3 linked regions of the Anolis sagrei genome follow. The protein of the gene in region 2 interacts with the protein of the main gene of each other region in a pairwise test. Links are inferred from orthologs where the notes say so. Each region holds a gene or a part of one and is shown on either strand. Other genes may lie near its edges.

Evidence for each region.
Region 1: the proteins of TRIM69 (region 2) and FKBP1B interact in binary tests that used the Homo sapiens proteins (3 or more experiments, as listed by UniProt). The two-hybrid records come from large-scale screens. The link is inferred for Anolis sagrei from reciprocal best matches to the Homo sapiens genes TRIM69 and FKBP1B.
Region 3: the proteins of TRIM69 (region 2) and IYD interact in binary tests that used the Homo sapiens proteins (3 or more experiments, as listed by UniProt). The two-hybrid records come from large-scale screens. The link is inferred for Anolis sagrei from reciprocal best matches to the Homo sapiens genes TRIM69 and IYD.

What each region holds. Positions count from the first base shown.
Region 1 is NC_090021.1:139,422,444-139,429,360, forward strand, and holds the start of FKBP1B (peptidyl-prolyl cis-trans isomerase FKBP1B), read left to right. Parts: upstream 1-3,895; 5' UTR 3,896-3,991; coding exon 3,992-4,028; intron 4,029-6,917. UniProt on the Homo sapiens protein: Has the potential to contribute to the immunosuppressive and toxic effects of FK506 and rapamycin. PPIases accelerate the folding of proteins. It catalyzes the cis-trans isomerization of proline imidic peptide bonds in oligopeptides.
Region 2 is NC_090029.1:25,772,418-25,779,758, reverse strand, and holds the start of TRIM69 (E3 ubiquitin-protein ligase TRIM69), read right to left. Parts: upstream 3,007-7,341; coding exon 2,521-3,006; intron 1,038-2,520; coding exon 942-1,037; intron 1-941.
Region 3 is NC_090021.1:73,065,820-73,073,017, forward strand, and holds the start of IYD (iodotyrosine deiodinase 1), read right to left. Parts: upstream 3,023-7,198; 5' UTR 2,855-3,022; coding exon 2,671-2,854; intron 1-2,670. UniProt on the Homo sapiens protein: Catalyzes the dehalogenation of halotyrosines such as 3-bromo-L-tyrosine, 3-chloro-L-tyrosine, 3-iodo-L-tyrosine and 3,5-diiodo-L-tyrosine.

The DNA.
Region 1 (6,917 bases), on a different chromosome or scaffold from region 2:
AATATATAGCAGATACTCTTCTCCCTCCAAATATTTGGGAGGCATGTAACTTGGGTAGCATGTCCGTGTGTGTGCATTGGCATATCTTTATTCCTAACAGCTCAAAGAGATATTTAGGACATCAGTTAAACAGCCAAGGAACCTAGTTGCCTTGCACAATGCTGGTGAATGCCATTTTTCCAAAAGGTTATGACTCTAATCATAGAATCATAGAAGCATAAGAGTTGGAAGAGACCTCATGGGCCATCCAGTCCAACCCCCTGCCAAGAAGCAGGAATATTGCATTCAAAGCACCCCTGACAGATGGCCATCCAGCCTCTGTTTAAAAGCTTCCAAAGAAGGAGCCTCCACCACACTCCGGGGCAGAGAGTTCCACTGCTGAACGGCTCTCACAGTTCAAATGTAATCTCCTTTCTTGTAGTTTGAAGTCATTGTTCCGTGTCCTAGTCTCCAGGGCAGCAGAAAACAAGCTTGCTCCCTCCTCCCTGTGACTTCCTCTCACATATTTATACATGGCTATCATATCTCCTCTCAGCCTTCTCTTCTTCAGGCTAAATATGCCCAGCTCCTTAAGCCGCTCCTCATAAGTCTTGTTCTCCAGACCCTTGATCATTTTAGTCGCCCTCCTCTGGACACATTCCAGCTTGTCAATATCTCTCTTGAATTGTGGTGCCCAGAACTGGACACAATATTCCAGGTGTTCATGCTTTTTACCAAGAGGTTATGGCATTGTTTTTCAAAAGGATGTGACTTCTAACAAGGTCATGCCTTTCCAAAATCATAAAATCTCTGAAAATGTTAAATTTGAAGTCCAGTAATATCTGGATTGCTACAGGAAGCCCACTGGCTTTAGAGATCCATGTGCCGTGGCGGCTCATTTCACCCAAGAACCTTTTAAAGGAAGGCTTTACAAACAGTCTTCTCTTCCATACACAACAGTGGGATGGCGAAGGATACAACTTAGGGAGCAGTTCAGGGGCTGCATTTCTAGACTCCCTTCTTCCTATTCCAAGACAGATTTTTTAAAACAAGCATGGAGTTGGCATTTCATCACATTTAAGAATCAAAATGAGTAGAAGTGTGAAAGGATCGTGATCAGGGCAAGCGGAGACGCAGCTGCGTTTCTCATTATCACAGCCCTGTCTGAACCTGATAGGGTTGGAAATGCAAGAAGGGCCTTTGGGGGATGGGAAGGTGCTTCCAGATGCAGTTTTTCTTATCACTCTACCTCATTCATCAACCTCTCCTTGAGGTCCAGATACCATTGTCTTCAATGTGCAGCCTTCACGAGCGTTTCTCATTGTTTCATCCATTATTATGGATGGCGCAGTGGGTTAAACTCCTGTGCCGGCAGGACTGATGATCGACAGGTCGCAGGTTCGAATCCAGGGAGAACGTGGATGAACTCCCTCTAGCAGCTCCAGCTCCTCATGCGAGGACACGAGAGAAGTCTCCCACAAGGATGATAAAACATCAAAACATCCGGGCGTCCCCTGGGCAATGTCCTTGCAGACGACCAACTTGCTCACACCAGAAGCAACTTGCAGTTACTCAAGTGGCTCCTGACATGACCAAATAATAATAGTAGTAATAATAATAATAAATCCATTATTATTTTTCTTACCACAGAGTGCCCTAAAGAAGACAGTGGAGCGTTGCATAAAAGTGCCACTCCTTGTGAAAAGTAGACTTCTGTCTGGAAACTGGAGTGTTATGTGGTTTCCGGGCTGCATAGCTGTGTTCTGGCAGCATTTTCTCCTAACGTTTCACCTGAAGCTCCTCTGAAGACGCCAGGCACAGGTGCAGGCAAAACATTTGGGAAAAGCATGACCTTTGAGATCATAGGTAAAGGTTTTCCCCTGACATTAAGTCCTGTCAGGTCTGACTTTGGGGGTTGGTGCTCATCTCCATTTCTAAGCCGAAGAGCCGGCGTTGTTCATAGACACCTCCAAGGTGATGTGGCCAGAATGACTGCATGGAGCGCAGTTACCTTCCTGCTGGAGCAGCACCTATTGATCTACTCACATTTGCATGTTTTCGAACTGCTTGGTTGGCAAAAGCTGGGGCTGACAGCGGAAGCTCACCCCCCCCCCCCGGATTTGAACCTGCGACCTTTCGGTCAACAAGTTTAGCAGCTCAGCAGTTTAACCCACTGTGCCACCGGGGGCTCCTTTGAGATCCTAACCTTTTGGAAAACCAGAATCTCCAAAGCCTTTTGGAAGCATGACCAAGCGTTTGCACTGTGATTTTCAGCACAGCGATTGATTTCTCAGTGCAACAATGAACAATACAAATGGCAATTGGAATGGTTCCCGGCATATGTTTTTGGATTGTGTGATTTTAATCGATATGTTTTAATTCTGTATTTATTTATCATGTCATCAGCAATCAGACATTTTTAACAAAAACAAAACAAACACACAGACAGAACACAGAATTTGCAAGCTTGGTAGTTGCTTAAATGTCCTTTGACCAGTATCTGGCCACTTGGAGTGCCTCTGGTGTTGCCGCAAGGAGGTCCTCCTTTGTGCATGTAGCAGGGCTCAGGGTGCATTGCAGCAGGTGGTCAGTGGTTTGCTCTTCTCCACACTCGCATGTCGAGGATTCCACTTTGTAGCCCCATTTCTTGAGGTTGGCTTTGCATCTCGTGGTGCCAGAGCGCAGTCTATTCAGTGCCTTCCAAGTCGCCCAGTCTTCTGTGTGCCCAGGGGGCAGTCTCTCATCTGGTATCACCCATGGATTGAGGTTCTGGGTTGCCTGCCACTTTTGGACTCTTGCTTGCTGGGGTGTTCCAGCGAGTGTCTCTGTAGATCTTAGAAAACTATTTCTTGATTTAAGTCGCTGACGTGCTGGCTGATACCCAAACAGGGGATGAGCTGGAGATGTCACTGCCTTGGTCCTTTCACTATTGGCTGCTACTTCGTGGTGGATGTCAGATGGTGAAATACCAGCAAGACAGTAATTTCTCCAGTGGTGTAGGGTGCAGACATCCCGTGATAATGCGGCATGTCTCATTAAGAGCCACAACCACCGTTTTAGTGTGGTGAGATGTGTTCCACACCGGGCATGTATACTCAGCAGCAGAGTAGCATAGCACAAGGGCAGATGTCTTCACTGTGTCTGGTTGTGATCCCCAGGTTGTGCCAGTCCTGTGATTTTAAAGTATACGTTGTTTTATTTTTATATGTATTCAAGGCATCGAATTGTGCCTGTGTTGTGAGCCGCCATTAGTCCCCTTTGGGGTGAGAAGGGCGGGATATTAATGAGGCAAATAATAAAATAATAATTAATTGGCATTCACTACCATTTGGAATAATCATAACCCTTTTGTAAATTATTATCTCCCTGAGAAGAGCTAAATCTTCTCTTTAGTAGAAAATATCCACCAGTATTCATGCAAGGCAATTAGGTTTCTCAGTTGTTAGACTGATATACCTGGTTATCTCTTTGAACTGTTAGGGATAAAGATAAAATATATAGCAGATCTTCAGAAGTGTTGTTTCAGTTGCCCAAAAAAATCTACTCTCATAAAATATATTTGGTTTTAAATCATCCTCTCAAGAGACAAAAATAAGTAGTTTTCGTTAAAATAACATAGCTGGTTTACTTACAACTTCATGTATTCAGCATACAGGTGTATTGCTTATGAGTTGAAAGTTTAAACGGTAAACTGCATTCTGTTGCAGCCTCTTCTCTGTCTTATGTCTAATGCACAAGGAACTCACTCACTCACTCACTGACTGCGCTTTTGCCTGCCCGCCCCTTTGCTTCTCTTTACTCCAGCGGGGCGTTCTCTTCCCACCCTCTGCGGGAACCCTGCCTTGCGATTGGACGCCAGCGCCGGGAGAGCGCCTCCTCCTGGCATTCTCATTGGGCCGCGCCGCTGACGGACACCTTGGTTGCAATGGGCTTGTAAAGGGGGCTCTGCTCCTGAGAAGCTGGGAGCCAAAGGCAGAAGGCGCATATCCCCTGGAGCGCTGCTGCAGCCATCATGGGGGTGGACGTGGAGACCATCACCCCAGGAGACGGTATGGGGCCCAGCTCCCATTGCTTTGGCTGGGGAGGCTCTTTGGGGTTGGGGGGAGAGGGTGCTGTGGCTTTGGGGGGACAAGGAGACCTCTGCGCATGCGCGCCCCCTTTCAAATCTGATGGGGAGGCTTGTCTTTGCAAGGGCAGTTCTGCAGCAAAAGCTCCTTGAGGCTGTGTGTGGCCCCAATACACTGCCACTTAAAATCCAGGTTATCTGCTTTAAACCGGATTATATGCCAGTGTAGACTCAGGTAATCAGTTTCAAAGCAGATCATGTAGATTATCGGATTTGACATTATATGGCAGTGTAGACTCAGGTAATCCAATTCAGAGCAGATAATATGGATTATCTGATTTGATAATCAGGATTATATGGCAGTGTAGACTCAGATAATCCATTTCAAAGCAGACAATGTAGATTATCAGATTTGATATTCTGGATTATATGGCTAGACTCAGGTAATCCATTCAAAGCAGATAATGTGGATTATCTGATTTGATATTCAGGATTATATGGCAGTGTAGACTCAGGTAATCTATTCAAAGCAGATAATGTGGATTATCTGATTTGATATTCTGGATTATATGGCAGTGTAGACTCAGGTAATCCATTCAAAGGAGATAATGTGAATTATCTGATTTGATAATCTGTATTATATGGCAGTGTAGACTCAGATAATCCAGTTCAAAGCAGATTAGGTGGATCATCTGCTTTGATAATCTGGGTTAGATGGCAGTATAGAAGGGGTCTGTGTCTGCTTTTCAAACCTTTGCCAAGCGCATTGATGGTGCAGCTGCACTGTAGAATTGATGCAGTTTCATACCACCTAGATTACCAACTGTCATAGATCAGTTCTATGTAATTCTGGTAATTGTAGTCTCTCAAGGCACCAGCACCCTTTGGCACAGAAGGCTCAAGACCTTGGGAAACTACAATCCACAGTGCTGTGGAATCTGGGGGATTGTAGTTTCCCAAGGTCTTTAGACTTCAGTGCCAAAGGATGCTGGTGCTTCATGAGACTACAACTCCCACAATTACATAGCACTGATCCATTATGGTCGAATGGGTATCAAACTGCATCAGTTCTACAGTGCAGATGCACCCAAACTTTTCTGCAATTGACAAAAAAGGACCTAGTTCCTTCATGGTGTTTTTTTTTGGGGGGGGGGGAAGTGTTGTGGGGATGACTGGGGACCCTTCTACACTGCCATATAAAATCCAGTTTATTTGTTTTGAACTGAATTATATGGCAGTTATTTATTTGGTATCAAAAGTAAATTAGTATAAAACTGATAAAACGGAAGGCACGCAGGTGGCTAAATATCTTTTGATCAAAAACAGTCAACAGCAACGGCATTGTCTGTAGCCTCCAACAATTCCTCCTCTGTACGTGAAGCAGGGCACCATGGACAAGCATACAGATGCGGAGTTGTCTGTTCTGCTCCACAGTCACACAAGGTGTGGGATTCTTCGAGGTATATGGCAGTGTAGACTCATAATCTAGTTCAAAGAAGATACTGTGGATTATCTGAATTGATAATCAGGATTATATGGCAGTGTAGAAGGAGCCTGGGCTTAGTGACTCCCCAGAGTTGGGAATGGATCAGGAATGGAGGTGTGCCAAAGCGCAAAGGTGGTAAACACAAGAACCCTTGCATATCCCTAATATAAATAGGAAAAATGGGAGGCCGGAGGTGCAAGTCTCTATCCAAAGTCAGTGATCTAAATGAGTGGAAAAGCCCTGGAGGGCTCTGCAGGATGAAGGGGCTGCAGCCCTCTTGCTTTTCTGGCAGCCGCCAGCGATTAGGGATATTTAAATGGCATTTGCTGACAGCTGCATAAATCCAAGCAGGGTGAATTGATTTAGTAGCAGGAGCAAATGACAGTCCACTCTGCGCTTCCCTGCTTCCACTGTTCTGCAGACGGAGCCGGCACACATCCAACCACAATAACGTGAAGCAGGAGAACTTTTGCAGGAACCATAATCTTGATGATGGGATAAATGTCTGGTGGCAACGGTGGATGCAAAAATCCATGCTGACGCATAGTGACTGGCTATTTCAGCCCGCTTCTTGTCGCCTCTTTCACGGGAAGCAGCCACCTTGTTGATGATGGCAGAATTTTCCTGATGTGTGTGGCTTAATTTTAGAATATCTTGGTCGGATTCCAAAGTGGAGAGCACCATGCTGGATTTAACCCAGTCCCTGGCACAGAGGAAGCATCATCATTGCTTTTTTTGCTCCTTTTTAAATAGTCATGCGACCCTGGCTTGAATGCAAAACCTGTGATTCCTGAATACAATTGTTGGCGTTTTAGCTACTTCTCAGAGAGTTTTAATACAAAAAAAATATTGCTAGCTTGTATCCTCAATTGGGATGTAACTCATCCAGGTTCAGAGGCGGCATACCTGTTAATACTAATCAGGGAATAATAGTGGGGGAGAACTATTGACTTTCTAAAAGGCATTTATTTGAAAAATAGGATGCTTGGTTAAGTATCACATAGGGTACATCTGCACTGTAGAATTAATGCAGTTTGACACCACTTAAACCTTCATGGCTCAGTGCTATGGAAGCATGGGAGTTGTAGTTTGGTGAGTCACCAGCACTCTTTGATAGAGCAGATAGTAATATTACAACTCCTGTGACTCTATAGCATTACATTATGGTTGTTAAGGTGGTGCCAAACTACATTCATTTTACAGTGTAGCCGCACTCATGGATCAAATCCTTGGAGACTTCCCTGTATACTTTTGGATAGCCAAACAGCATTCAGTTTATTGTCAAAGGCTTTAATGGCTGGAATCACTGAGTTGCTGTAGGTTTTTTGGGCTATATGGCTATGTTCTAGAAGCATTCTCTCCTGATGTTCCACCTGCATCTATGGC
Region 2 (7,341 bases):
AAGCCATTGTTCCATTGTGTCCTAGTCTCCAAAGCAGCAGAAAACAAACTTGCTCCCTCCTCCCTATGACTTCCCCTCACATCTTGATCCATGGCTATCATGTCTCCTTTCAGTCTTCTCTTCTTCAGGCTAAACATGCCCAGCTCTTTAAGCCGCTCCTCATGGGGCTTGTTCTCCAGACCCTTGATCATTTCAGTCGCCCTCCTCTGGACACATTCCAGCTTGTCAATATCTCTCTTCAATTGGGGTGCCCAGAACTGGACACAGTGTGATTCCAGGTGTGGTCTAACCAAGGCAGAATAGAGGGGTATCATGACTTCCCTAGATCTAGACACTATACTCCTATTGGTGCAGGCCAAAATCCAGTTGGCTTTTTTTGCCACCGCATCACATTGTTGGCTCATGTTTAACTTGTTGTCCACGAGGACTCCAATATCTTTTTCACACATACTGCTTTTGAGCCACATGTCCCTCTTTCTGTATCTTTGCATTTCATTCATGATACTGCATGGCAGAAATTGCTTTCTAAAGTTTTCTGAATAATAATTCAGGAGCCGAAAATGGGGAAATACAATTTTTGTTTACTCAACACACCTTGAAGATTGGTTTTCAGTGGGTTTAGGCCAACATTTGGTCCCTCTGATGTTTTGGACTTCAACTCTCAGAAGTCCCAGCCAGCATACCAGCTGTTAGGAATCGTGGGAGCTGAAGTCCAAAACACCTGGAGGACTAAAGATTGGGAATCACTGGTTTAGGGTAATGTCATGTGGTGGTAAGTTGGTTTTTTTTTTTAATCTAGGGAGCCAACATCTGACAGCTTCAGGTGATAATGTCCCCAGTGTGTTCCTTTGCTTCAGAAGTACAAAACACAAGTTTCCATCACCTAAAATACTCAACAGTAAGATATTCAAGTAGAGATCTACTGAATCAATGATACTCACTTTGTGGTTACTGATCTTTTCTTCCTGGGCATTCTTCAACACCTCCAACTTCACCAAGATGGATCTGAGCTGAATTCTCATCATGAGCAACTTTTCCTGTGGGTAAATAGTCACAAAGAATGTTATAGAATAGGTAAGTCATCACACCTAAGTAAAATAGTGACATCAACATTTTCAATTTGGACATTCAATGAATAATTCTATATTTAACTTCTGTCAATTTTATATGTTTGGTTTTAAATATGTTATTGTATTTTTAATGTTTTCAATGTTGATATACTGTATTTTATGTGTGGTGTGGCATCATGTGTGCTATATATAAGACGTACCAAGTCCCTATGGAAGATGGTGGCATGGTATAAATAAAATATTATTATTATCAATAATAATAATAATAATAATAATAATAATTCTATTACATTTTCTCTCTATCTATCTATCTATCTATCTATACTGCTGATAGATAGATAGATAGATAGATAGATAGATAGATAGATAGATAGGCATTCTAGAGAATCTTTATTAGGTGGATGCTTTCCTGGTGTTTTTTTGGCCTAGGATACATTCATAATAATAATAATAATAATAATAATAATAATAATAATAATTCCATTACTCTATCTATCTATCTATACTGCTTATATACCTTGGAAATTCATACTTGGCCATGGTGGTCCATGCTCTTGTCACATCTAGGTTAGATTACTGCAACGCCCTCTACGTGTGGTTGCCTTTGAAGACTGCTCGGAAGCTTCAAATAGTCCAGTGAGAGGCAGCCAGGCTAATAACTGGGGCGGCGTACAGGGAGCACACAACTCCCATGTTACACCAGCTCCACTGGCTGCCAGTTTGCTACTGGGCACAATTCAAAGTGCTGGCTTTGGCCTATAAAGCCCTAAATGGCCCCGGCCATTTACCTATCCGAATGCATCTCCCCCTATGAAACACCACAGAGATTAAGATCTTCTGGGGAGGCCCTGCTCTCGGTCCCACCACCATCACAGGCGCGTTTGGCAAGGACGAGAGACAGGGCCTTCTCAGTGATTTTTTTAATACCGGTAGCCAGATTTTGTTCATTTTCATGGTTTCCTCCTTAACAAAATCTGGCTACCAGTATTAAAAAACTCTAAAATTAAAACAGCAAAACAGCAGAGGGAAAACAATCAGGCACATCTAATCACCTCTCAACAAAAGATTGCTCCAGGCACTGCCAGGCCATCAAAAGCTAATCAAGGTGGTCAGTTGAAACATCCACATCTAGCTCCAACAGACAAGAGTCCTTTGTCCCACCCTGGTCATTCCACCGACATATAAACCAATTTTCCTCGTTCCAACAGTCCTCACTACCTCTGAGGTAGATGCAGGCGAAACGTCAGGAGAGAATGCCTCTAAAACATGGCCATATAGCCCGAAAAAGCTACAACAACCCAATTTTTTGGGTGATGGTCACTCCTTGGGTGAGTAGGTGTCTTGTGGCCAAATATGGCAGTGATTCGTTCAGTGGTCTTTGAGTTATGTTAATTCCACAAACGAACATTACATTTTTATTTATATAGACTGGTGATGGCATGAGAGTTACCGTAAAGATCTGTACAGCATCTGGAATGAGAAGGAACTGTGTGCATTGCTCTTTGGGTAGCAGAGTTTCCCGGCAGGTGAAGCAGGCGAGTTTTTCTTGCGTCTTCCAGTAGAGAGTCATCGGCTCGCTGTGTTCGATGCACTTCTGTTGCAGGCACCCCACGTGGTAGGTCTTAATCCTATCCGCCATCTTCTCCAGGGCGGTGTTCGAGATGTACTTTCGATCGGGGACACTCGCGTGGCATTGTGGACAGAAGATGCCCTTTTTCTTCCATAAGTCTTCTAGGCAATCCCTACAGAAGTTATGGCCACAGGACAGGATAACCGGGTTCTTGAACAGTTCTAGACACACACCGCAGGACAATTCCTTGGTGAAATCATCCGCATGCAGCTCCCATGACGTATCGGAAGGACCCTGGAAGATTGGTCTTTCGTGGATTGAAACAAAGGAGGACGTGGAAGGGTTTTTGCTGGTAGAGGTGGACATGGTCTCAGAAAGAAAATGCTTAAAGTTGCTGCTCTGTCAAGGGGAAAAAAGGAGTGGAATTAAAGTTCAATCTTTATGTCAATGTAGAAGTGTTTTTCATAACTTTGAAATATACGAGGGTTGAATGAAAAGTAATGCTTCCACCTTCATAACTCCTCAACAGATGGCAGTACTGCTATGCAGCAGGTACTGGCTTGTTCAGTAGACTCTCCTCTACAGTTCCATTTTGGCAGGAAGCCTTAGCAGAAAAGTAATGGCTCCACCTTCGTAATTCCTCAACAGATGGCAGTTCTGCTATGCGGCAGGTACTGGCTTGTTCAGTAGACTCTCCTCTACAGTTCCATTTTGGTGGAAAGCCTTAGCATTGAACAGTTGTGTTGTTAAAGTGCTAAGTATGGAACCCTGCGCAGACGGTCGGTCAATGCAACTTAAGCAACGTGCAGTCATTGAAGGTGTCACCCCACAGGAGATTCATCTGAGAATGCAAGTTGTTTATGGTGACTGTGTTGATGTGAGTATTGTGTGTCACTGGGCAAGTAAGTTTGAAGATGTTGAGGTGGCATCTTCTGCTGTCAAGAATTCAATGCCTACACGTTGCTTAAGTCATATTTACCGACTGTCTGCGCAGGGTTCCATACTTCGCACTTTAACAACACAACTGTTCAATGCTAAGGCTTCCTGTCAAAATGGAACTGTAGAGGAGAGTCTACTGAACAAACCAATACCTGCCGCATACCAGTACTGCCATCTGTTGAGGAGTTATGAAGGTGGAGGCATTAATTTTCATTCAACCCTCGTAATAATGATTGATACTCATGTAAAGAAATTGTAGACAGGAGTATGGCTGCCGTATGTCGTTTGACATATGGAGCCACGTTTGCGCAATGAGTTAAGCCCTTGTGCTGGCTGAACTGCTAGTCTGAAGGTCGGCGGTTTGAATCTGTGAGACAGGGTGAGCACCCATCTATCAGCTCTACCTTCCCATGCGAGGACATGGGACTATCTTAAAACTATTTCTTACCTCTCCCCAGTTTATGTATTTAATTGCAAATCCATATGAAGATTTTGATGTGATACAGAACAATAATAACACATGCAATTTTTTTTTAAATCATGTAAGAAACAAAGAGCAGCTATCTATAATCTATATGGCAAGGTAGAAAATACATTAAGTAAGCTTACAAAATAAGTCATGAAAATTGGGAACTGCCATTTGTCTATTGATAGGTAACTATTGCTTGGGGCTGAGATATGCTAGAAGTACTATTCTCATGTTCTATGGTGGGTGGGAAAGAGCCTAAAGACACCCCAGACAATTAAGTATCTGTCCTGGATTTGAATTAAAGAGATTGTCAGCCATCTATCTGGGCATTTGGCATTAATATTACATTGGAAAAGTGTGGCCAGAATTATTAGCATCAGAAATGAGCTAGATGCTAATCCTGGTTTAGACCGAGTTCAGCAACATCTATATAAATAAAAATGTAATGTTTGTTTGTGGGATTAACATAACTCAAAAACCACTAGATGAATTGACATGAAATTTGGACACTAAACCCCTAATGGACCAATGAGTGACCATCACTCATAACCCCCCTCCCCAAAGAAAACCAGCAGCAGAAAGGACTTAAAAATCAAAACAAGCTAAATGACAAAAAGCTAAATGACAATGCAGAAAAAAAGGGAAGGAAGAGGGAGGGAAGGAAGAAAGGGGAGAAAGGGGAGAAAGAAAGAAAGAAAGAAAGAAAGAAAGAAAGAAAGAAAGAAAGAAAGAAAGAAAGGGAGATAGAGAAGGAAAGAGGGAAAGAAGGAGCGAAAGAGGGAGGGAAGGAAAGAAGGGAAGAGAGAAGGAAGGATGGAAACAAAGCGAAGGAAGGAAGGAAAGAGGTAGAGAAGGAAGGAGAGAAGGAAAGAAGAAAAAGGAAGAAAGGAGACAGGGAAAGAGAAGGAAGGATGGAAAAAGTGAAGGAAGGAAAGAGGTAAAGGAGGAAGGAGAGAAGGAAAGAAGAAAGAGGAAGGAGGGAAAGAGAAGGAAGGATGGAAACAAAGCAAAGGAAGGAAAGAAAGAAGTAGAGACGGAAGGAGAGAAGAAAAGAAGAAAAAGGAAGGAAAGAGAGAAAGAGAAGGAAGGATGGAAACAAAGCGAAGGAAGGAAAGAAGGGAAGGAATAGAGAAGGAAAGAAGGAAAGAGAGAAGGATGGATGGAAACAAAACAAAGGAAGGAAGAAAAGAGGTAAAGAAGGAAGGAGAGAAGGAAAGAAGAAAAAGGAAGGAAAGAGGGAGCAAAGGAAGGAGAGAAAGGAGGAGGGAAGGAAAGGATGAAAGAGAGAAGGAAGGCTGGAAACAAAGCAAAAGAAGGAAAGAGGTAAAGAAGAAAGGAGGAAAAGGGGGAGAGAAAGAAGGAGGGAAGGAAAGAAGGAAAGAGAGAAGGAAGTATGGAAACAAAGCGAAGGAGAGAAGGAAATAGGTAGAGAAGGAAGGAGAGAAGGAAAGAAGAAAAGGAAGGAAGGAAAGAGGGAATGAAGGAAGGAGAGAAAGAGGGTACAGCATGGTGGGTACAGCTAGTTATTAAATATTTTCATAGTAAGGCTGAGAGTGCTCCTCTTTTGCGTTCCTGTTTATTTCCCTGTTCATTTCTTACTGACTCACCTTTTATTTTTGAGCTAGCCTTGTCCAAGCAAGTCCTTATCCTTTTCTAGACGGTCCTTTTCCCCCCCTAGTCCATTTCTTACAGATTCACCTCTGTTTTTGAGCTAACCTTGTCCAAGCTGCTCCTTCCAGCTCTGCCTTTCTATTAGGCAGCTTTAGAATCCTATGACATAACTGCCACTGGCCAATTGTTTTCCTGAAGGTTCTACCTGGCTTCCAATGATTCTTTTCCGCTCTTTCTCTGAATGACAAAGATCTTGAAGTGAGGCCTCAATTCACATCTCAGGCCAATGAATGACCATCACTAATTAAAACACTGAAAAACACAGCAGAAGGGACTAAAAAGCAAAAAATCCCATAAAAATACATTACAACACATGCGCAAAACCACACATACACTTTATTTCCTTACTTACTTAGGCGATCCCTCGTTGTCTGAGGATGATGGTCCTCCAGGGTCAGTGTGTAGTATGCCGTGGATCTGTACGTGACTGTGGAGTCCTATTCTTGATCTGCATCTTCTCCTGCAGTGAGGGCATCAGTTTCCAGGTGACAGGCGGTCTCGGTCAGGGTTGGCTTGATGCACCTTCCTCTTGGCATGTTTCTCTCCTTCACCCTCTATTCTTCCCTATTCAAATTCTGCAGCACTGCTGGTCACAGCTGACCTCCAGCTGGAGCGCTCAAGGGCCAGGGCTTCCCAGTTCTCAGTGTCTATGCCAGAGTTTTTGAGGTTAGCTTTGAGCCCTTCTTTCAATCTCTTTTCCTGCCCGTCAACATTCCATTTTCCGTTCTTGAAGAGTAGAGCTGCTTTGGGAGACGGTGGTCAGGCGTCCAGACAACGTGGCCAGTCCAGCGGAGTTGATGGCGGAGGACCATCGCTTCAGTGCAGGTGGTCTTTGCTTCTTCCAGCATGCTGACATTTGTCTGCTTGTCTTTCCAAGAGATTTGCAGGATTTTCTGGAGCAACGCTGATGGAATCATTCCAGGAGTTGCATGTGACATCTGTAGACAGTCCACGTCTCACAGGCACACGCACACACATACACACATATACACACATATATATACATATACACAAATATATACACATATATACACACACAAAACACATATACACAGACTGGGCCACAGCAATGTGTGGCAGGGGACGGCTAGTTTGTAATAAGATTTGATTGACTCTGTTGTTGTTGTTTATTTGTTCAGTCGCTTCCGACTCTTTGTGACCTCCTGGCCCAGACCAGGCCAGTGCTCCCTGTTGGCCGTCACCTCCCCCAGCTCCGTCAGAGTCAAGCCAGTCACTTCAAGGATGCCATCCCTCCATCTTGTCCTGGGTAGGCCCGTCTTCCTTTTTCCTTCCATTTTCCCCAGCATCATTCCCTTCTCTAAGCTTTCCTGTCTTCTCATGATGTGGCCAAAGGACTTCATCTTTGCCTCTACTATCCTTCCCTCCAGTTAGCAGTCTGGCTTTATTTCCTGGAGTATGGACTGGTTGGATCTTCTTGCGGTCCAAGGCACTCTCAGAATTTTCCTCCAACACCACAGTTCAAAAGCATCTCTCTTCCTTTGCTCAGCCATCCTTGTGGTCCAGCTCTCAAATCCATAGGTAACTACGGGGAATACCATTGCTTTAAATATGCCGATCTTTGTTGCCAGTGTGATGTCTCTACACTATTTTATTGAGATTGG
Region 3 (7,198 bases), on a different chromosome or scaffold from region 2:
CTAGATCCATCGTTTGAGTCTGCAGTGCTCTTTGGATTTAGGTGAACTATAACTCCAAAACTCAAGGTCAATGCCCACCAAACCCTTCCAGTATTTCCTGTTGGTCATGGGAGTTCTGTGTGCCGAGTTTGGTTCAATTCCATCATTGGTGGAGTTCAGAATCCTCTTTGATTGTAGGTGAACTATACATCCCAGCAACTACAACTCCCAAATGAGAAAATCAATGCCACTCCCCCAACCCCACCAGTATTCAAATGTGGGCGTATCAGGGATTTGTGCCAAAATTTGGTCCAGTGAATGAAAATACATCATATATATCAGATATTTACATTATGATTCATAACAGTAGCAAAATTACAGTTATGAAGTAGCAACAGAAATAATGTTATGATTGGGGGGAATCACCACAACATGAGGAACTGTATTAAGGGGTCATGGCATTAGGAAGGTTGAGAAACACTGCTCTATAGCATTCCTGGCTGTAAGTCCTTGATTTTAATAGGATTTGTTGTTATACACAGTTTCACATGTTTCTTACAAAATTCAGGTAACTACCTTATTTTAAAACATTCTCCTTCCAAAAGCTATTTTAATCTAAAGGTAAATGTTTTAAAAGCATATTTGTGATTTGGATTGTTTCAATAAAAAAACTGAAGCCCTTTCTACACTGCCATATAATCCAGATTATCAAATCAGAAAATCCACATTATTTGCTTTGAACTGGATTATATGAGTCTACACTGCTATATAATCCAGTTCAAAGCAGATAATGTGGATTATCTGTCTTGATATTTTGGATTATGTGGCAATGTAGATGGGCCCTGAGAAGTGAATTGGAAAAAGAGGGTTTTATTTAGCATTGCCACATTCCCAGATTTCAAAATCTGCTTGTTTGCTTTTTGTTCTGGACACAAGGATAATTACTATTGCTGTTTAGAATCTATTTACATCCATTATGTGGCATACTTGTATGGAGTATGAAACTGACATATTTTCCATCTGGCATGCTCATAGGATATATTAGACTGATTTAGTGGTATTTTTCAAAGCAGAAAGCATAAACGTTTGTGCTTAAAAAAAACAGTTGTAGGAAAAACCCAATCCAGTTATAGCTGGTCATAAAATGTTATTCTTGATTCAGAATCCATCTGATCAGTACTAAATACCTTTTTAATGTGTGCCGCAACAAGATGCTAGCTACTGTGCATAATATGGTTTCAGATGCAGTTCTATACAGTGGGTCCTCCTGATCTAGGATTCCCTGAGGATACCAAAAGTTTTAAAATATTTTGAGCTGTGGATGATGGGACCCATGGATGCAGAATCTGTGGATATGAAGAGCCAGCTGTTCTCATTTACCCACTAAACTCTATGCTACTTTTGGCTCCTTCCACACAGCTACATAAAATCCACATTGAACAGGATCACAGTGCAGTGTGGACTCAGATAATCCAGTTCAAAGCAGAAAGTGGATTATCTGCCTTGATATTATGGGTTATATGGCTGTGTGGAAGACCCTCTGTTTTCATAGATATTTGTGGGATTGCAATATCAATATGGAATATAAATTTGCATCGGTGATAATTCTGCTCTCCATCCTTCCTTCCCCTTAATCCAGTAGTTCTCAACTTGTGGGTGCCCAGATGTTTTGGCCTTCACTTCCCAGGAATCCTAACAGCTGGTAAACTGGCTGGGATTTCTGGGAGTTGTAGGCCAAAACACCTGGGGACCCACAGGTTGAGAACCACTGCTTAACCTTCATCAGCATGCTTTCTTTTGCCAGTCAAACCCTTCACCACCTAGAGATACCAGATGTCCATATAGGAGGCACTATGGATAGGAAAGCTATCATTGCCATTTCGTTCTTCCCAGAACTTGGGAAAGTTACTTATACTGAGGACAATTCTCAGGCCCCTTCTACACTGCCCCTATATCCCAGGACTGGATCCCAGTTTATCAGTTTATCCCAGATTATCTGGCAGTGGAGAATCATATAATCCAGTTTAAAGCAGATAATCTGGGATCAGATCCTGGGCAGTGTAGAAGGGGCCTCAGAATCTCCTAACCAGCACGAGGTTTGCAAAACAAATACGTTTCCCAACCCCCATTTTTTCTCCTCTTGGAATCTGTGAGCTGTATATTTTAAAATCAAAAACACACTAGCCAGGATCTTGTTAATAACATCTATCAGTGTAAATTGTACTATACTTGTGGAGTGATTTTTTTTTTAGGGGACATGCACAACAGTCACATCCAACTCATGGCAGTGAAATAGAGTTGTACATGTGGGAGCATTGCACAGTAATACACATGCAATCAGTGTTTTGCCTCTATGCATTGTTTTTTCTATTGCATTTAGCATCTTTTGACAGACACAAACTTCGCAATTCATCCACATACATTGTGCTGTGTTGATATTCGGTACAGGGACAACATAATGTAACTCTGCCAAGCACGCATTGATGTTACGCTGAAGCAATGTATTTATGCTATGCTTCCCCACCATCACTGTTATTCATTTTCTTGTCAACTTCAAGAGATGGATTCCAACTACTTACAATTCCTCAACAACACCCTAAAATGTTTGAAAAGGCCATGTTTTTCATTTCCTCCCGAGACTAGAAAAACACAGGCATACAAATGCCAAACCCTTTTCACTTTTTTACATACCTTCTTCCTCAGGGTGAAGGTCAGTGCTGTCTTTTAAATCATCATCCACCCATGGACGAGACTCCACTTTCTTACTTGTTTGCCTTGGCTCATTCTTGGAGTTTGTCCTTCTGCCTTTGACTATTATTCCAATCAAGACGCAGATAATTGCCACAAAGACTGGAGTTAGAGAGGAGAATGCCATAGTCACGGGACTGCCAATGGAGGGCTATGCCAGACACATTCCCTAGAAAGAATGTTTCCTTTTAAAAATACTTGAGGGTAAATGTGAGACTGAGAGGCATAGAAGGGGTGGAACAATTTGTGTTGTGTTTTTTTTCTTTCAAAAATCAATGTTCAGTTCTTAGTAGCACTCAGCCATAAACCTTTCACACACATCACTTGCTCTTCAACCTCCAGCAGTTTCTGGATTATTTCCAAAGGGTAGGTCAGCTTATTTTATCGTTGAGCTATTGCACAATGTGACTCAATGCTGGTGCTCAGTAACTTTTCAGTGTATCAGAATTTCAAATTAGAGCATGAGTTGACGAGATTACAGCATGACCCCCATATCCACAGGCAGGGCCATAGCCAGAAAAAAAATTCGGGGAGGGTTGAAAATTTCAGGGGGGGGGGGGTTTTGAAAATTTCAGGGATGTTGAAACATGCCTCCTAGCTCACACTGAAGCAAAGAGCACATCAGGGGACAGAGCAGCCTTCAATAGCCTGCAGCTCCGCCCCTGTCAACCACCTCCACCAAGTCTGGCCTCTTTAATGAGAGCATTCAACACCCCCCCCCCCAACTTGGTTGCTTCACTGAATTGGCTATTGCTGCAAGTAATGACAATGTGAATAAATTGTCAATATTTGGTTGAGATAGTGCTTGCAGTTCTGGAGTAGTAGTTCGGGATAGTGCTTGCAGTTCTCTTAATTTTTTGCATCTCATAGACTTAGAATGGGAATTTGGTTAACTAGTTAAAATTCATGAGTAAACCAGGTTTTTTTTTAACCTGAAAAATTTCGAAGGGGGGGTTGAACCCCTAACCCCCCCCCTCCCTTCGGCTACAGGCCTGTCCACATAGTTTACATTTCTTAACCTACTGTGGAAACCATAGACAATTGTGAATCCAACTAAATTTCCACCAGAAGTTTCCATAGAGTCATTCTAGAGAAACTACAAAATTCCTGAGAGGTATCCTCTCCAGAAATGTATGAAGTACTCCAATGCAACTCTATAGTAAATACCATAGAGTTATTTGGAGGACCCAGAACATACCTAGAGGTGATACACTTTATTGGATGCATGTAGATGAAACCATGGGTACCAGTTATGTGGTTGTATTATACACTGATGCTGTAAAAGGGTTGTATTTGATGTTGACCATTAGCAGAGTTTTTCCAAACTGGCCAATTTTTGTTGACCCATTTTCGATTCCTTTTGCTACAGTCCTCAGAGGTCATGCTGGCAGGAAAATCTTGGGAAATATAGACCAAAACAGTAACTTCCCCAACTGTCTGAGGACCCATCCACACAGTACCTTTATCTCAGGAGCTCCCAGTTCAAAATAGAGGGTGGCTAGACGATGTCAACTGAAAATGCAGGCGCAATTGCTACAAAGCCAAAAAACCAAGATAAAGTAGTGCAGGAATATCCTGGTTCTGGCAGAAGATTCAGATTTTCAAATCTCTATGTGTCTCTGCACTCAGAAAATGCGGGAGTTTTTATGTTAGTTTGTTTCTCGGGTTATAAATATCGGTTCCTCATTGCTTCTATTGTAAAAACATGGGGAAAGTTAATTACACAGCAAAAACTTTATTTGTATGTTCCAAACTTTGATAAATGGGTGGACAACAATGTTCCTCTTGCCAGGACTAAGTTTTTGCCCTGTAATCAACTTTTGCCAGGTTTTTATGATGGAACCAATGGGGAACTGACATATATATCCCGGGAACAAAACTTGTATGAACAATGCACATATTTACATCAGTGCATTAACATTTTTTTTAATCAGCTGGAATTTCCAGTGGACATCCCACAGTAGCCATCTTGCAGGCTTCTAAATCCTGGAACACAGCAGCAAGTCCGAATGTTACAAGCACAAATCTTGGCATCTACAGGTCTGTGTGCGGACCTGCTCTCAGGTCCTTGTTTTTTTGCCCCATAGAAAATCCGCAATTTGGTGTTGTCTGGAAGTGCTCTGAGATTGCTTGTGCGAACTCATTGCCAGTAAATGTAGCAAGGTGGATCAGAGAAGTCAGGACACAATGAATCACCCGTTAATAATATCTGAAATCTCATCTCAAACATGTTGATCATTTTTTAAAAACAATCATGCTTGTGAACGTAAGTAGGATTCAGTCTAATGCCTCATACACATGACTTCCTTGCTAAGACACTTCTTTTTGCATTCCTGTTTACCAAGACCACCACAACCCTTCAAAATGCACTGGCGCTAAAATACTAAGTTACAAGTTCTGCTCATACTACGTATATTACAGAAATAAATAGACCCATAGTGTACAACTGAACTTGGTGTTTATTGCCCTAAAACTGAAAAGATAGTTGAACAAACTGCAATTTGTCACAGGTAGAACTGTATCTATTATCTAGTATCAGTTTGGTCCTGATTTGAAACATATTTGGCATTTGAATCCAGTGTTTAGTGGAATATACTTATCAGCCCATCACATACAAAGTAAATTGGCATGGTTGGCTTAACCCTTCTAGCATATCTGTCTGTTATGATCAATGATATTATTTACCCTGTGGAGTTAATTGCCGGCTATACAGCCATTATATATATAACTATAAACTCTTATGTATGCCTTGTCTGACATTTTATTACATAGATGTGAAATATGCAAATGTTTCGGTAAATTGATCTTTACATTTTAGACAAAGGGATAAATCCAGGTTTATTATGAAATGAATTGGACTTATGCTAGTTATAGCTAATCAAAATGCATTTTCCCCAACATGTCAACTTTACATATAACATCTAGACTACACCCTTTTTAAGTTTCTTGAAGACATGGTAAATAAGATATAAAAACAGGGAAGTAGCATGCGACCCATAGCTGATACATATATTTTAAAGTACGATTGGCCAGTTCAAGCATCCTCCCTCCCTCTCTCTCTCTCTAATATTTCGTTTAAGTCAGTTGTTATGAATTAGGAGAACAGCTATGGTTGGTATTTTAATCAAGACTTCAAAGCTATTTTTGGTCCCTTCATATTTTATATATTCTGAATCAGATCTTTTATTTCATGTACAGGGGCTTTTAGTTCATGTTGCTAACTTTCTGCCTTTTAAAAACCTGTATTTAGAAGATTAATCCATAAATATTAACCTCAGGAGTGAATAAAAAATTCATATTAATTTAAAAATGCCAACTTAAAGGCATTGCAGTAATGCTTTGCATTAAGATGCTAGTAGACACCATATGGAATTTAACAAAGGCAATGAATTTATGATTAGCCCAAAGGGAGCATTTGGGTTAATTAAACAAATTCAAAAGTCTATAATCAGGAGACCTAAAAATTCCACTTCCCAGATGGTTCCTCTCCAGGACTGATCTCTGTTCTGTCTTTCAAAAAAGAAGAGAGAAGGAGAAGAGAAACATTTCCCCTTCTCCAGGTCTTGGTCAATGACTTTGAAGTAGAACGGATATAATAACATGCTGAAATCATCCGTAACTGAGTGTTCGGAGCATTATTCTACCGTCGCTCAGTTATGGATGGCTTCAACATGTTATTATATCCATTCTTCCTCAAAGTAACTTTCCAAGAGCTGTTCTTCTACTGTTCAGCGTTCTGACCAACATAAGTCACAGTTTGATAAGAGGGAGGTGCTATCCTTAGGCCAACTACACTACAGCCCTTAGAGGGGCACCGTTTTATATGGATCATATCTTCGGAGGCTTTGTCCAACACCCAGGTCGTTACAGCATGGTGGCTCCTTTTTCTAGCTTAGTTTCAGTTTTATATTTACAGTCTCTTTCACAATTCCCAAAAAACTTGTAATTTTATGCAAAGCCATTAGAGGGTGTGAAAACTATTGTAAGGAACCACATTTTTAGCTCTGCATGTTTAATAGGTATGCACAATTTCATGCACACCACCAACTTCACAAGTGTGATAATTTCTGAGGCAATAAATACTTTGTCTCATAAGCTCCAAGAAGTGAAGAATGGGTGATCACAAAAACACCAAATGATCTCTATACCCTTACATGTTACCAACATAAATAAGCCTTTATTCAGATGCATTACGCATATTTTGTACAAGGAACTGGACCATGTAGAAAACCTGGTTGTGATGTTGACTATACTAAAATGTCAAGGGCTCGGTGGAGTACATTTTAAGAACTGCTGATATATATATATATATATATATATATATATATATATATATATATATATATATACTGGATTAAAGCTCTGAGTTGCAAGTTCGAATGCGGGGAGCAGCGTGAGATACCACTGTTAGCCCAAGCTTCTGCCAACCTAGCAATTCGAAAACATGCAAATGTGAGTAATCAATAGTACC